3 linked regions of the Arabidopsis thaliana genome follow. The protein of the gene in region 3 interacts with the protein of the main gene of each other region in a pairwise test. Each region holds a gene or a part of one and is shown on either strand. Other genes may lie near its edges.

Evidence for each region.
Region 1: the proteins of AT4G25660 (region 3) and AT4G31830 interact in a two-hybrid assay, tested with the Arabidopsis thaliana proteins (one large-scale study listed by BioGRID).
Region 2: the proteins of AT4G25660 (region 3) and AT5G09450 interact in a two-hybrid assay, tested with the Arabidopsis thaliana proteins (one large-scale study listed by BioGRID).

What each region holds. Positions count from the first base shown.
Region 1 is NC_003075.7:15,399,954-15,403,518, reverse strand, and holds AT4G31830 (uncharacterized protein), read left to right. Parts: upstream 1-2,293; 5' UTR 2,294-2,413; coding exon 2,414-2,716; 3' UTR 2,717-2,915; downstream 2,916-3,565. Other genes in the region: PGR3 (proton gradient regulation 3), read right to left, coding at 1-499; ENODL15 (early nodulin-like protein 15), read right to left, coding at 1,093-1,442, 1,538-1,721.
Region 2 is NC_003076.8:2,939,422-2,944,318, forward strand, and holds AT5G09450 (Tetratricopeptide repeat (TPR)-like superfamily protein), read left to right. Parts: upstream 1-2,376; 5' UTR 2,377-2,442; coding exon 2,443-2,477; intron 2,478-2,566; coding exon 2,567-2,855; intron 2,856-2,997; coding exon 2,998-3,903; 3' UTR 3,904-4,247; downstream 4,248-4,897. Other genes in the region: AT5G09445 (uncharacterized protein), read left to right, coding at 1,533-1,772.
Region 3 is NC_003075.7:13,081,531-13,086,335, forward strand, and holds AT4G25660 (PPPDE putative thiol peptidase family protein), read left to right. Parts: upstream 1-1,876; 5' UTR 1,877-2,146; coding exon 2,147-2,281; intron 2,282-2,652; coding exon 2,653-2,914; intron 2,915-2,992; coding exon 2,993-3,060; intron 3,061-3,156; coding exon 3,157-3,459; 3' UTR 3,460-3,900; downstream 3,901-4,805. Other genes in the region: ACD1-like protein, read right to left, coding at 1-11, 105-293, 376-715, 797-984, 1,108-1,623; AT4G25670 (stress response NST1-like protein), read right to left, coding at 3,901-4,467.

The DNA of each region.
Region 1 (3,565 bases), 2.3 Mb from region 3:
CTTTCACAGAAAGACTCTTGAAGATAGTCAAGTAAGTATTAGTATCCCTCTTTATGATTCTTTTCTGCATCAAATCAAACACATAAGCCATTTCCTCAAGTTTACCATCAACCCTCAAAGCTTCAAGCATGTAGTTACAAGTCTCAGTAGTGTGAACTAAATTCAAATTCCCAGCCACTGATTTGAAATACGAAAATGAAGAATCAGTATCAGGAAACGACTTTAAACCCCTCGTTACTTCTTCACTCGATGACAAATCAGGTTTTGAGCTCTTTCTTATCATAGAACCCGAAAAGTCAGAACTTTTCATGGAGACTACACTACATCTCATACTCTTCCTTCTCCAGTGTTTCTTCCGAGACCCAATCTTCAAAGCGTGGAACTTTAATCCTCCAGTAACCAAATTATCGCGACATTTTGCTTTGATGTTACTAACAAGACAAGCATCACCAACTGATATATCACCACACAAACTCGCAGAGCAGAGTAACGCGACCATTCTAGAGATAAGCCAAGCAAGCAAAACAATTCAATTCTCCGGCAAAAATTGAAACGAAAACAGAGATTAACGATGATGATTCATCACATTTCAAGTGGCGCAGATATAACTAACAAAACACAAACACGTGCTGAATAGCTATGAGCATTTTGATTCGTCTCCGTTCACCGGCTGAAAAGAGCGCGAGGGAGTCGATTTCGGTGAACCGGAGATTTTTGATGAAAGAATTTTCGAAGCAGAATAATAAAAAACTTGCCGAGAGGATAAAATCAGACTCGCTCCACTCGATCCTTACCGTTTTGCTTCCCTCCCAAAATATCTTTAGGCCCAATTCAGGCCCATTTTTAGGCCTCTTTTCACGACAGTCCAGGTTTCTTTGTGTTGCTGTAAATTACCTTTTTGGGTACTAAATTCAAAATTCTCATTCACTTTTGTTTTGTTTTCTTTGTTGATTGTTGATAGATCCAACTAATTTATCCAGAATTGAAAAAGAGGAAGAACAATTTAGATTAAAATAAATTTAATGTAGTAAATAACAAAGATTTCTACTTTATATTCCAAAATTAATAAATAGAATTAAGACTAATTGTCTTTTAAAAGAAGAAGGCCCATAATCCAAGAACAAGCCCAAATACGACACTAAATCCGCCGGCGAGCTTAGCGGCACCACTAGTAGGAGCTACGGCTGGACCGTCGAACTCAGATGGCGAAGGACCTGGAGAGAAAGCAGAGTTACGAGGAGTGATGACGACTAGGCGTAGCTTCTGACCCTTTTGACAATGACCCTCTGTTCCACTGACGAAGTAGACCGGACCAGCTTGGTCAAGCTTCACCTTTGTGTTCCCGTCGGTGTAGCTGGCTTTAGGGCTAGTGGTGTTGCATTTCTCGTATGCTTCTCGTGTCACTTGCAAAACCGAGTCTTTACCGGCTTCGTACTTGAATACTGTAATAAACATGTGACGATGTCAGAAACAGAGTATATTGAAGATCACACAAAATGTCTAATTGAAAAAAAAAAGTTGAAAATTATGGATTTACCGATAAAGTCGCCGACTTTGAAGCGAGCCTTTTGAGCCCATTCGTTAAAGGAGAAAGAAGAGGAAGGAGGGATCTTCCAGTCACCGGATTTTCCACCGACGGTAACCTCATTTGCATTCACGGACGAAAAGAAGAAGACAGAGATGCAGAGGAAGATGGTGACCAAAAGAGAAGAAGAAGCCATTGATTAGAATCTAAAACCTTAAAAGTATTAGAGTGTGTAATGTGTTTTAAAGTGTGTTGAGGATGGAGAGAGTGTGGATCTTGTGTGGTTTATATAAAGGTAGAGGACTTGGAAACTAGCCGTTTAGGAATTACGAAAAATTAAAAGGAAAAAATGGTAAATGTTAATGTATCCGTTGGAGAGATGATAAAGGCAACGTAACGGTTAGGATTGAGCGACAAAACTTGAACTCTGATAGAGAAAGTGATTTCACGGTCTTCTAGGAAGACTGGTCAAGCTAAGCTGTTTCTGTTTTTTGTTTTTGTACTTTACTTTTTGTTTGCTAGTGGGAACTGGGTTTATTGGGCCTTGAAGTTGATAAAAGATGAATAAAAGACATATCGCCTAAAGCCCATATGAGAAGCAGAAGACAAAAACCTCCAACTTTGGGCATAAATTTTGATTATAGTTAAAAGTCCAGACCCAATTTGGCACCTGGCTTAGTTACGATTCTAAGGCATGACACCTGCCTAATATGTTTATTACAGAAAATAAAGAGAATCAGCTAGGTGTCCCTTATTGAACACATTAACAAACTCCAACGACACTACGTGTCTTCGTGACTCTTACTATATCCAAAAACCTATAGCTAAAGCTGAATTTTCCATGATTAGTATAGTCCCAACCAAAAAAATACTGAAGAAGGCATAAGCATGGCCGGAGAAGAAGACTGGAGAAAAACAGCAGATACGACGAAGATGAGCTCGGAGGGAGTAAAAGCTGCCGGCGTTGAGTCATCAAAGAGGCCGCCAGGAAGTAATCCAGGTGGTGTTCTTCATCAACGCCGTAACTTGCCATACAGTTACACGACGATGGCTCTAGCCGGATTAGCTATCTCGGGGGCCATCATGTACACTGTTATGTATGCTAAGAAGAAGCCGGAAGCCACTGCCACTGATGTAGCTAAGGCTGCCACAGGGACGGCTAAACCTGAAGATACACATCCAAGAAAGTAAAATTTCAAGGGAAGAATTAAAGGGTTTATCTTCTTCTTCTTTTTTTGCTTTTGTAATTTTGTTCTTGCTTCATGCTCTTGTTGGAACTTCTTATTTACTTGTAATAAAATAACATAACGTGTCCAAGAATGGCTTATGTCAACTACTAGAGCAAGCAGAAGAATAAAATGGGAGGAATAGAGTAGTCTTGTGTAGCAAATGCATGCGTATAATTTAGATCACCGAATCCTCTACATTTCTCTGTGTTATGTCGCTTAAAAGTAGGGCCATTATTGTGGGCTTCTTTTGCGTATTAATATTTTTGGGCCATATCCTAAAAGATGTGTAGAGCATCATCATGCATGGCATTCAAAGACTACAAATCCGGTTTTGCAGTCTTTTGATATGACTTTGATTACGTTTTTATATTTCCAGTCTTAATGAAAAATAGAAAATTCCAATTGTTTATGGAATTTATTCAGTTTGGTTTTGATTTAGTTTTAGGGTAAATTCTCTAACAAGAAAACTCAATTTGAAAATTTCGAACGGTGTGATTATTTTGAATCGGCAATGTGGTCTTGATTACTTACTGTCAAGTGCCAAATAAAAGTTTAAGGAAAGAAATAGTAATTTTTTAGTCAACTACAAAATAATAGCAAGTTGATTCTATGAGACAATTGGTGATTCGCATGTCTTTAAAAAACGTTGATTGGCATAAAATAAGATCGTAACGTTATAAATATGAAAAAATTAGGTGAGTCCACTTAATGGCCCAGAAAAGTAAGTGTATTGACATAGGCTGTTAGGTAGAAACACTCATGTGTTGCTTTATGAGCATAAAACCTGGACGACAAACTTTTTTTTCTCTCC
Region 2 (4,897 bases), on a different chromosome or scaffold from region 3:
CATATATCTATTTTAATAATAACGATTTGTAGTTTCCACCTATAATCTTATAACGTTAGTATATACTGTATATAGTATGATTAGTATCAAGACCTTGTTTTAACTTTTAACCAGAGGAATCAAACTTTATAGATAAACGAAAAATGGATTAAGATATTAATTATGTTGTGTTGATACCAATGATACGGTAAAAAGAACAAACAAAAAGAGAGAATGAATAATCTAAAGGAAGGTGGAGAATAAAGGCGATGTTGGGACTTGGGGGATAAGAGAAAAGAGAACATATAGAATCACTTTTTCACTTTTAATAAAAGCTATAGCTTATAGGTTTTGGCGTATTGCTTACTAAACAATAGTATAGTATTTATTGTGGGACTGGAAAAAATGATTTTATTTTTATCATCCAGTTTTTCCTACCAATCTCACCTTTTTAGTAACTTGAATTGAATTGTCCCATAAATTCTTAAATATGAGCAGTGGGTTGGTTGGTGTTGAGTGCTTCGAGCAGGCCTGTCGAATCAATGGACTCTACTGACGATAGTGAAAGCAGTAAGCTTTCAATGAAGTCGCTCCAATAACAACTTGTTAAAGGTTTTATTGGAGGTTACACAATTTACACCTACAATTATTTTTATTCGTTCAATAAGAGCCACATTCTTTAAGAGTTGGTAACACTGAACCCCATAAAAATCATCTTGGACTCCAATTTTCACATCCAAACATTTCCTAATCAAGTCATATATCCAATGTTTTATGTCAAATCTATTTCACTCCCCCTTCACTTCAAAACATCTTCCAATTCTTGTCCTCACATCAGATCCCTGAACTCAAATGATAAAGAGTGTTTTTTTTTTTCCTTTTTCCCCTAATATCTTTTACTTTTCAATGCTAGACACTAGCCCTGGGACTAAAATCCGCTAACCGCGAATATCCGGATCCGGATCCGTGATCCGCTCCGAAAAATCGGATATCCGGACTAAACGGATCTGAATACGGATAACAAATTTATGGATCAGACGGACCCGGATCCGGAGCCGGATAACAAAAAAAATTACATCCGGATATCCGGATCCGTCAAAATATCTACATATTACTAGTCCTGAGACTAAAATCCGCTAGTAATATGATATTACACCAATTAAGCTTATACATTGATATCATGGGCTTAATACATACTGATATTATTAATCTTATAGCCCATATAAGCCCAATACGACAAAGTGACATAATTTGAGTTTGTTTGTGATTTGGTGGGACACGTCATTAGGGTTTCACAACTTGTCTTCTCTCTGCCGCCGTTCTTCCATCACCATCTCTTTCACCGTCTCCAAACCATCTCCTTCACCGTCTCTATCTCATCTCCATTGCCATGAATCCATGAACGAGATCTTCTCCTCAGTCGTTAGCCCCGCAAGAACTTCTCGTCAATGGTCACCACTTACCTCCGACTCGAGATCGTGCGCTCGTCGCTTAATTGGGAACTGAATCAATGTCGTTAAAGGTGAAGAATAGAAGAAAGCCATGGCTTGGAAATGGTGGTTTGTAGATTGCGAAAGCTTATGACAAACATTGGTGGATTCGATCTGGGTTGTAAAAGAGAATCGGATTTGATCCCCATAGAAAAAAAACGGATCCGACGATTTTTTTTGCGGATACCCGGATTCCGAATATCCGTAGCAAACGGATGCGGAGCCGAATATTATATCTACGGATCCGGCGGTTACGGACCGGATCCGGATACTCCAAAAAAACCCGGATATCCGGATCCGTAACAGGCCTACTAGACACTATACTTTATTTTTTTTATCAAATATGAAATGTTTACTTTTGAATATACTATGCAAATTGCAAATCTAACTCTAGGCAAGTCTTTAATTCTCTATGTGAAGACACCAAAACGCTTGGTTTCAAGTTCCAACTGATAACTAGTAACTAGTAAGTAACCAAAAATATAACATTTGAATCTAAAGAGTTTAAAGGCCTCATTAGAGTCCTGAAAATTTATAACAGAAAAAGTATCAGCCGCATGATAGTTGATAGCAACTTCTCCATATAATCGTGTTTGTAACAAATAACGAAATCGAGAGACTGGATAGAAATAAACTAGATTGAGAGTTTACAAAAAAGAAAGCAAACGACACCAAATCTATAAAATAATAAGAATCAAGAGTTAGCCTTCAACTCCGTAAGCCCATTCAAGGCCTCACAATAACCAACCCAAACATTCCACGCCTTATACCAATCCCCAAATACTTAATGCCTTCAACTTCGAATTGCCACATCGTTGGTGGTTGTTTATCTTGGAGCTAATGGGCTGATTTTCATGGGCCCATTAGATATTTTTGCTATTTTTTCGACACAAAATTGTTGAAACTCGAGTTTCTCGAAGTAAGTGATCGGTTTTTAGATCTTTTTGGTCTCTTCAGTCGGAACTGAAAATTCATGGCGACTCGCTCGCTCTTCCATAGTCTTAGATGGTGAGTCTCCCTCCACCTCTCTATGTCTCCTACTGATTTCGTATTTGTTTCCTGAGATAATTGATTCACACTGCTTCTTATGAATTTAGTCGATTGACGAATAATGGTGTTCTCGGAAGCAATTTCATTCGAAACGCCGAATCGTCACGATTCTCCAAGTCGTACAATGCTGACGCAGCAATCGGAAACTCCCTTGTCGAGGAATCGGAGGAGAAAGACGATCTGAAGAGCAGGATTTTCAGATTGAGACTTCCGAAACGTAGCGCGACTACTGTTCTCGAGAAATGGATTGGAGAAGGGAATCAAATGACTATCAATGAACTCCGAGAGATCTCCAAAGAGCTTAGGAGAACTCGCCGTTACAAGCACGCTCTTGAGGTACTAACATCGATCATTTCCTTTTTCATTGGTTTTTCTTCGTAGCTCCTAGTTTCTAGATTGATTGCACAATTTATGATTTGTTATGTGTTGCTGCACAAAACTGCATTCTTCTGGGAGCTAATTCAAGTATTATTAACAGGTTACAGAGTGGATGGTACAGCATGAAGAATCAAAGATCTCAGATGCTGATTACGCCTCACGCATAGATCTGATTTCAAAAGTTTTCGGGATCGATGCAGCTGAACGCTACTTTGAAGGTCTGGATATAGATTCAAAGACAGCTGAAACCTATACTTCTCTCCTTCATGCTTATGCTGCCTCCAAACAAACCGAACGAGCCGAGGCCTTGTTCAAGAGAATCATTGAGAGTGATAGTCTCACTTTTGGTGCCATCACATACAACGAGATGATGACTTTATACATGTCAGTTGGGCAAGTTGAGAAAGTACCTGAGGTTATTGAAGTGTTAAAGCAGAAAAAGGTTTCTCCGGATATTTTTACTTATAATTTGTGGCTAAGTTCATGTGCTGCAACCTTTAATATAGATGAGCTTAGAAAGATTCTTGAAGAGATGAGGCATGATGCTAGTTCCAATGAGGGTTGGGTTCGGTATATCGATCTTACTAGCATCTACATAAACAGTAGTAGAGTAACTAATGCAGAGTCTACTTTGCCTGTCGAAGCTGAGAAATCTATTTCGCAAAGAGAATGGATCACATATGACTTCCTTATGATTCTGCACACTGGTCTAGGGAACAAGGTTATGATAGATCAGATTTGGAAGTCTTTGAGAAACACCAACCAGATATTGAGTAGTAGAAGCTACATTTGTGTTCTTTCATCTTATCTAATGCTTGGTCATTTGAGAGAAGCCGAGGAGATTATCCATCAGTGGAAAGAGTCTAAAACGACAGAGTTTGATGCTTCTGCTTGCTTGAGGATCTTGAATGCTTTTCGAGATGTTGGTTTAGAGGGAATAGCCAGCGGCTTTCACTTGATCTTGGTGCATAACAAATGCAGCTTGGAGAATGAAGGATCATCTTAAGATGGAGAAATAAGTTGGTGAAAATTTTATGCTCTTAGCAAGAAGAATCAGATCAAGCTCATTAATCATGGTGGATGAATAAAATAGAGGTTTCTTCTCTTCACTGTGATTCTTAAATATCTTTTTGTTCTTTACGTGGGAGGTCATGAGACACATAGATTTCCTCACCAGAAGATTTTGCTGCATAGTCGGAAGATGTGTTTCCTTAGGCAAGGTCCATAACATTTCATATGTAACGTCAAATTTCAAAAAGTCCAAATTTTACAACAAAAAATAGATTGTGGAGGTTTTTCTTGTATGGTTGTTGTTTAATAATAAGTCTACAAAATTTGTTTTTGGTATAGAAAAAATGATAGTTTGAAAGGTTAGAGCAAAATCCTAGCATGTAAGAAGCCAAAGAAGGTTCCATTATTAACACTCGAGTTTATTACATGAACATGATACACAAACATGTTTAGACCCATGAGAGAAACAACAGAAGCAAATAACATTACAATAGTACAAAACTACAAGGCCTTTGAAGAGCTTAAGAGCCAGAGAGATTAGAAAAAACAAAAAAGATGACAAGTTATGGGATTGATAGCAACAGAAGAGTAATAATGAGACAAGAGAGAGTGGGGACATAGATTTTCACCTAATGAAAGTGGGAAGATTTCAATTTCCACAAGTCACAACCACTCCAAAAATTTCAATATTTGCCTTTTTGATTTTTCTTCATCCACACCCACCACCACCAGACCTTCACAGAGATATTATTATTACTCACGAGTAAAGATAATTATTAACGATCAATGAGCACCAAGACTTTGCTTTTTTCCCTTCTTTCACTTTTCTTCCACTCCAAGCACAGAAGAAAGTGACTTTTTTTTGGTTCTTTTTTGAGAGAGCATGCCAAATCCAAAAGTAAACCACTATTGATCCAGCTAGATGAACAGTGGATACGGTCCCACTAGGGTCACCAGGCGTGTTCTAATTGTTTCAAACCCACGTTAAT
Region 3 (4,805 bases):
ATCTTCCGCTCCTACACACATTCCATTACAAGATACAAATCAGTCTGGTACATTGATCAGCCTCTACTCAGAACAATGTGTGTACTAGATAGATTTGGAATTACCTCTACATGAAGGAGGTGCAAATCTGAGTCTAGAATCGTATTTTGACCAATGTGAAACACCCATCTAGGGACAATCTTATCAATAAATACACCAAAATTCCTCGGGAACGTCCATATCAGCCTACTACGACCTGGACTGACCGGAATACATATAAAGATCAAAGACAATCTCCGCTTTGACAATGCCGCCTGTATACAGAACCATACTGTTAGGTAACTAAAACATGTGACTCTAAACAAGAAAATCTTGATACAAGTTAAAATCTATGACCTTGTCAGAAGCAGCTGGTGCGGGATACTCATGTTCCTGCTCTGGTAGAGGGTCTGTGGAAGAGCGATACACACATGGTGCAATAAAATTAGAATAACCCCATTCTTGTTTTGAAAAGAACCCTTTGTTGTCTAGTTTTTTAACGTTGATTTCGAGTGGTTTCCCCCCTTCTCTGTCAATCTTCTCTGCAAGAAGAATCTGAAGGTTGGTAAAAGGATTAAAACAACTATTTGAAATACAAATTATGTATTTGCCTTTTGGTTTAGGAAACCGCATCAGTCCATAATGTGCATAAGGAACATGAGCCGGGTCCATGAGGTTTTCCACCAAGACATCGTACCTGAAAGATTTCAGATTTACACAAAAACATCAACGGAGAATTACCACACATAGTTGAAATGATGTAAAAGCCAATAGATACCCGTAAGGAATATCACGATTCCCCATCAACTTAGTGAATGATGGGTCTTCTAACTCTGGAATGTAAGGAGGCTTGTTGGTTTCAATAATGTTTTTGTACTTTGGATCACTGTTTGGCCAAAACCAAATGATCTCATGCTGCACAGTACTCGGGTAAACAGCTACACAAGCTTGCTTGAAAGTGTGGACCTGATTTGCATTACCAAAATAATCATTGATACAACCAAAGACTTTGACTTTATGTTCCATATAAACCATATGCTAAACCAATCTAAAACAAACAAATCATCATCAATAGCTATAAAAATTTACCGGAGGACCATCAGGAGGAGCTTGAGGAATGAGTTTACAGTCACCGGAACCATTAAAGCACCATCCATGATAAACACATTGCAACCTCCCCCATTGATCAATCCTTCCATCAGACAAAGGAGCAAGACGATGAGGACACGTGTCATCCATCACTTTCCATTGCTTCTCGTTCCTATCCCACCAAACAACCAAATCAATCCCCATAACTTTCTTCCCATGAGGAACCTTCTTGTCAAGATCGCAAATTGGCATCACTGGGTACCAATTAGCGTACCAATCGAACTTATCCGACCCGGGTTCGAATAGGGCTTCAGGTTCCGGTGGAGAATTCGTTGACGTAGCGGCTGATGATGATGGTGGTGATGATACTGCGGTTGTGAATCGACTTGATTTGCGGGTGATAAGGGAATTAGGAGAAATGGGTAGGCTTGGATTGGAGAAGGAACATCTGAAACGAGGTTTCGTATTGAGAATTCGGAGCGATGGAAGAGCGCATGCAGCAAGAGCAGCTTCCATGGCGTTGTGTGGTGGTAACAACCGGAGAGACGAAGCAAATGAAAGTCTTCTTTACCAATCTCTTTTGACAAATTTATAATCCAACGGTTCAAATTAAAATATCTCAGGATGTATTTAAACCAATTGATAATCATTTTTCTGGTTTAATGAAAACTAAACCGGTTAATTGAAAGAGAAAGTGTCGGTTGAGTGTGAAACCGGCGTCGGCAAAGTGAGGGTATAAGGGTCCTTTCCAGACACCACAGCATCAGTTTCTTCAATCTCCCACGTCTGAGATTGAAAAGTTTGGGAGAAGATAAACAAACTCAAAATACCTCAGCTTTAGATCAAAATCTAAAAACAAGAGTTTCGTGCAGTGGTTTCTTAGAGATCTAGTAGATTAGAGAATTTGGATTTGTTGAAGAAAAGTGGATTTGGTACGATTCTATAGGTTTCCTTCTTCTCTGAAGCTACTATAGAGAGAATCTGCGAGCTCAATTTCGTAGTAAATTAGGGTTCGTGTTTCTTGGTAAAGATAGAATCAATGGCGGAGGTTGTTCTGCACATATACGATGTGACGAACAGTGGATCAGAGAAGACTAACAACACCATAGTTCAGATCAATAGGTTCTTCAAAGACGGGATCGGTCTTGGCGGTATATTCCACAGCGCTATTCAGGTACTACTACTCCACTGCCTCGATCTTCTTCGTCTTTAGTCTATCAATCTACATCTGCACATGTATCGATGATGTCTCTCTTTTGAGTTGTTGTTTGTGTGTCTGTATGTGGAAATGAAGAATTTGAAGGAATGATATTTTTGGTTTTATCTGTGAGGCTCTAATCTAATGGCATATGGTCGTAAAGGTCTCTGTAAGATCTTGAGCTTAAGCTCCCTTTTCGTCTGTACTGAGGATCTCAATACTCGGTTCTTCAAGTAATTTTAGAAACGTGTTATGGGATTATGGGTGCGATGAACTTTAGGTTTACATGTTGCTATTGATTCGCAGGGAAGAGTGATTGAATAGAATCTTGTATGAACTTTGTGCAGGTATATGGAAACGATGAATGGTCTTATGGGTATTGTGAACAAGGAACTGGTGTGTTCAGCTGTCCTAGTGGCAAGAATCCAATGTACACATATCGTGAGAAAATTGTTCTTGGGAAGACAGATTGTACAATCTTCATGGTAAATCAGATCTTGCGTGAGCTCAGCAGGGAATGGCCAGGACACACTTATGATTTGCTGTCCAAAAATTGCAATCACTTCTGCGATGTATTATGTGACCGCCTTGGTGTGCCAAAGATCCCAGGTAAAACCATTATTGTGGGAATCAGGGTTTGTGTGTGTGTTTATGTTATGTGACGGCTTGGGTTCTGTCTCTTAACAGGTTGGGTGAATCGTTTTGCTCATGCTGGCGACACAGCCTTGGAAGTAGCAGGAAACACAGCAATGCGGGTGGGTTCTCTCTCATTTTGCTCTGCCCACGCTGTTTCTTTTTTTACACCTGAATGCATGTGGATGTTAAGTCCTTGTGAACTGTGACTTTTGCAGGTAAAGCAAGCCAAAACTGAACTTGTTTCAGCCAGTAAAGTGGCTTATCGCTTCCTTTCGAATGTTACCTCAAACATAACCAATGGTTCAAATGGCTCCAGTGGCTCTCCACAGCGGCCAGGAACTCTCAACAATTCAGACAATGGGAGCTTTAGATTGCAAGGTAGTTGGTTGAAAGGTATACTTAACACTGCCAAACCCTCCACAAGTACAGAGATAGGGAACAAAGAGGAAGATACAAATCATACAATCACCAATCAGAAAAAGCAGAACCGTGACTCTGATGTTCTACTATTTCAGTAGCAACTGTACTGATCCACCCCAATGTATTCACTTACTGTATATCCACCTATCCAAAATTTATTCGTTTGTATCCATTACTTTGTATCACGATTCGAACACACCTCTCTTTTTTTTTCCCCTTTTCACAGCAGAACGTGTGATTTTGTTAAGAAGATATTTTCAACACGTTACTGGCAAAGACCAAGCAAGTCTTAGCATATGCATTGCACACCTATTAGAGGGTTTGTTAAAAGAATGTGATATAAGATAAGCAACAATGCAGTATGAAGAGACTTCAACATGTATAATAGATACAACTCAAAATGCGTCTTTAATATTACAGCGAACGAAAACAGAGTATAAGGTCTAACGTCAAGAGAAAAAAACAGAGCATTGACACCAAAGCAAGCAGAAGGCAAATGTTTATTTTAAAAACCGAATGAGGACGAGTCGTGGCATCTGTCATCCCCGGAACATCCCATTGAACACAAAGGCGTTCCCATCAGCATTTTCAGATATCTGTAGCGCCGAGACAGCCTGAGCAGCAATCAAATCAGCTGATATTCCCATGTTGTTATCCCAAGCACCCCTCCTCGTGAATGGCGACCAGTTACTATCTCCTAGTCCATAGCCATTTGACACAAACCCAATCCCTTGAACCGCATAGCTAGCACAGCTTTGGCGAGGAACGTAGTTAGTTCTTTCATCTCTAAACAGATCCATTGTGAAACCCTTTTCTTCACCAAACTTGACTCGAGATGAATCATCAGAATCTTCGCCCAGTAGGACGTGCAGAGCAACAGCTTCTGCAATTGCAGCTCCTTCTTCATCTAACCTTTGTTGTTCTTCCAATCTCTTCTGCTTCTTCTTTTCAAGCTCAGCCCGGATGGCTGCAGAAGTAGCAAGAGCTTTCTCCAAACGTCTCTTTTTCTTCTCAGCTTGTTTGATACGATCAAATTCATCTTTACCATGCTTCTTCTTCGCTTTCCTAACGACTGGCTGAACTTGCTTGCACACCGTGTGATCCATTATTGCTTGACTATAAATTTCTAACTAAAAAACTGCACTAAACTCGATGATGTTGTAGAGGAACTCAAGAACTACACCCACTCTGGTATATAGGAATACCTCATGGTGCGGACAATACAATCCCAGAAAGAAACAACAGGAGACAACTGAAGAGAGAGGTTATAAGAATTCGCAGACTTATTCTTCGAAATCATTCGTCCAACATTCCCGCACCCCTTAGACTCGCCCATTTTCTGCATTGACAATTACTTGATTAGTTTCAAGTTGCAGAGGAGTAGTAACACAGAAATCCATAACATCAAAATCTGAAAGCCAAAACAATAGCATTCAAACTTGTA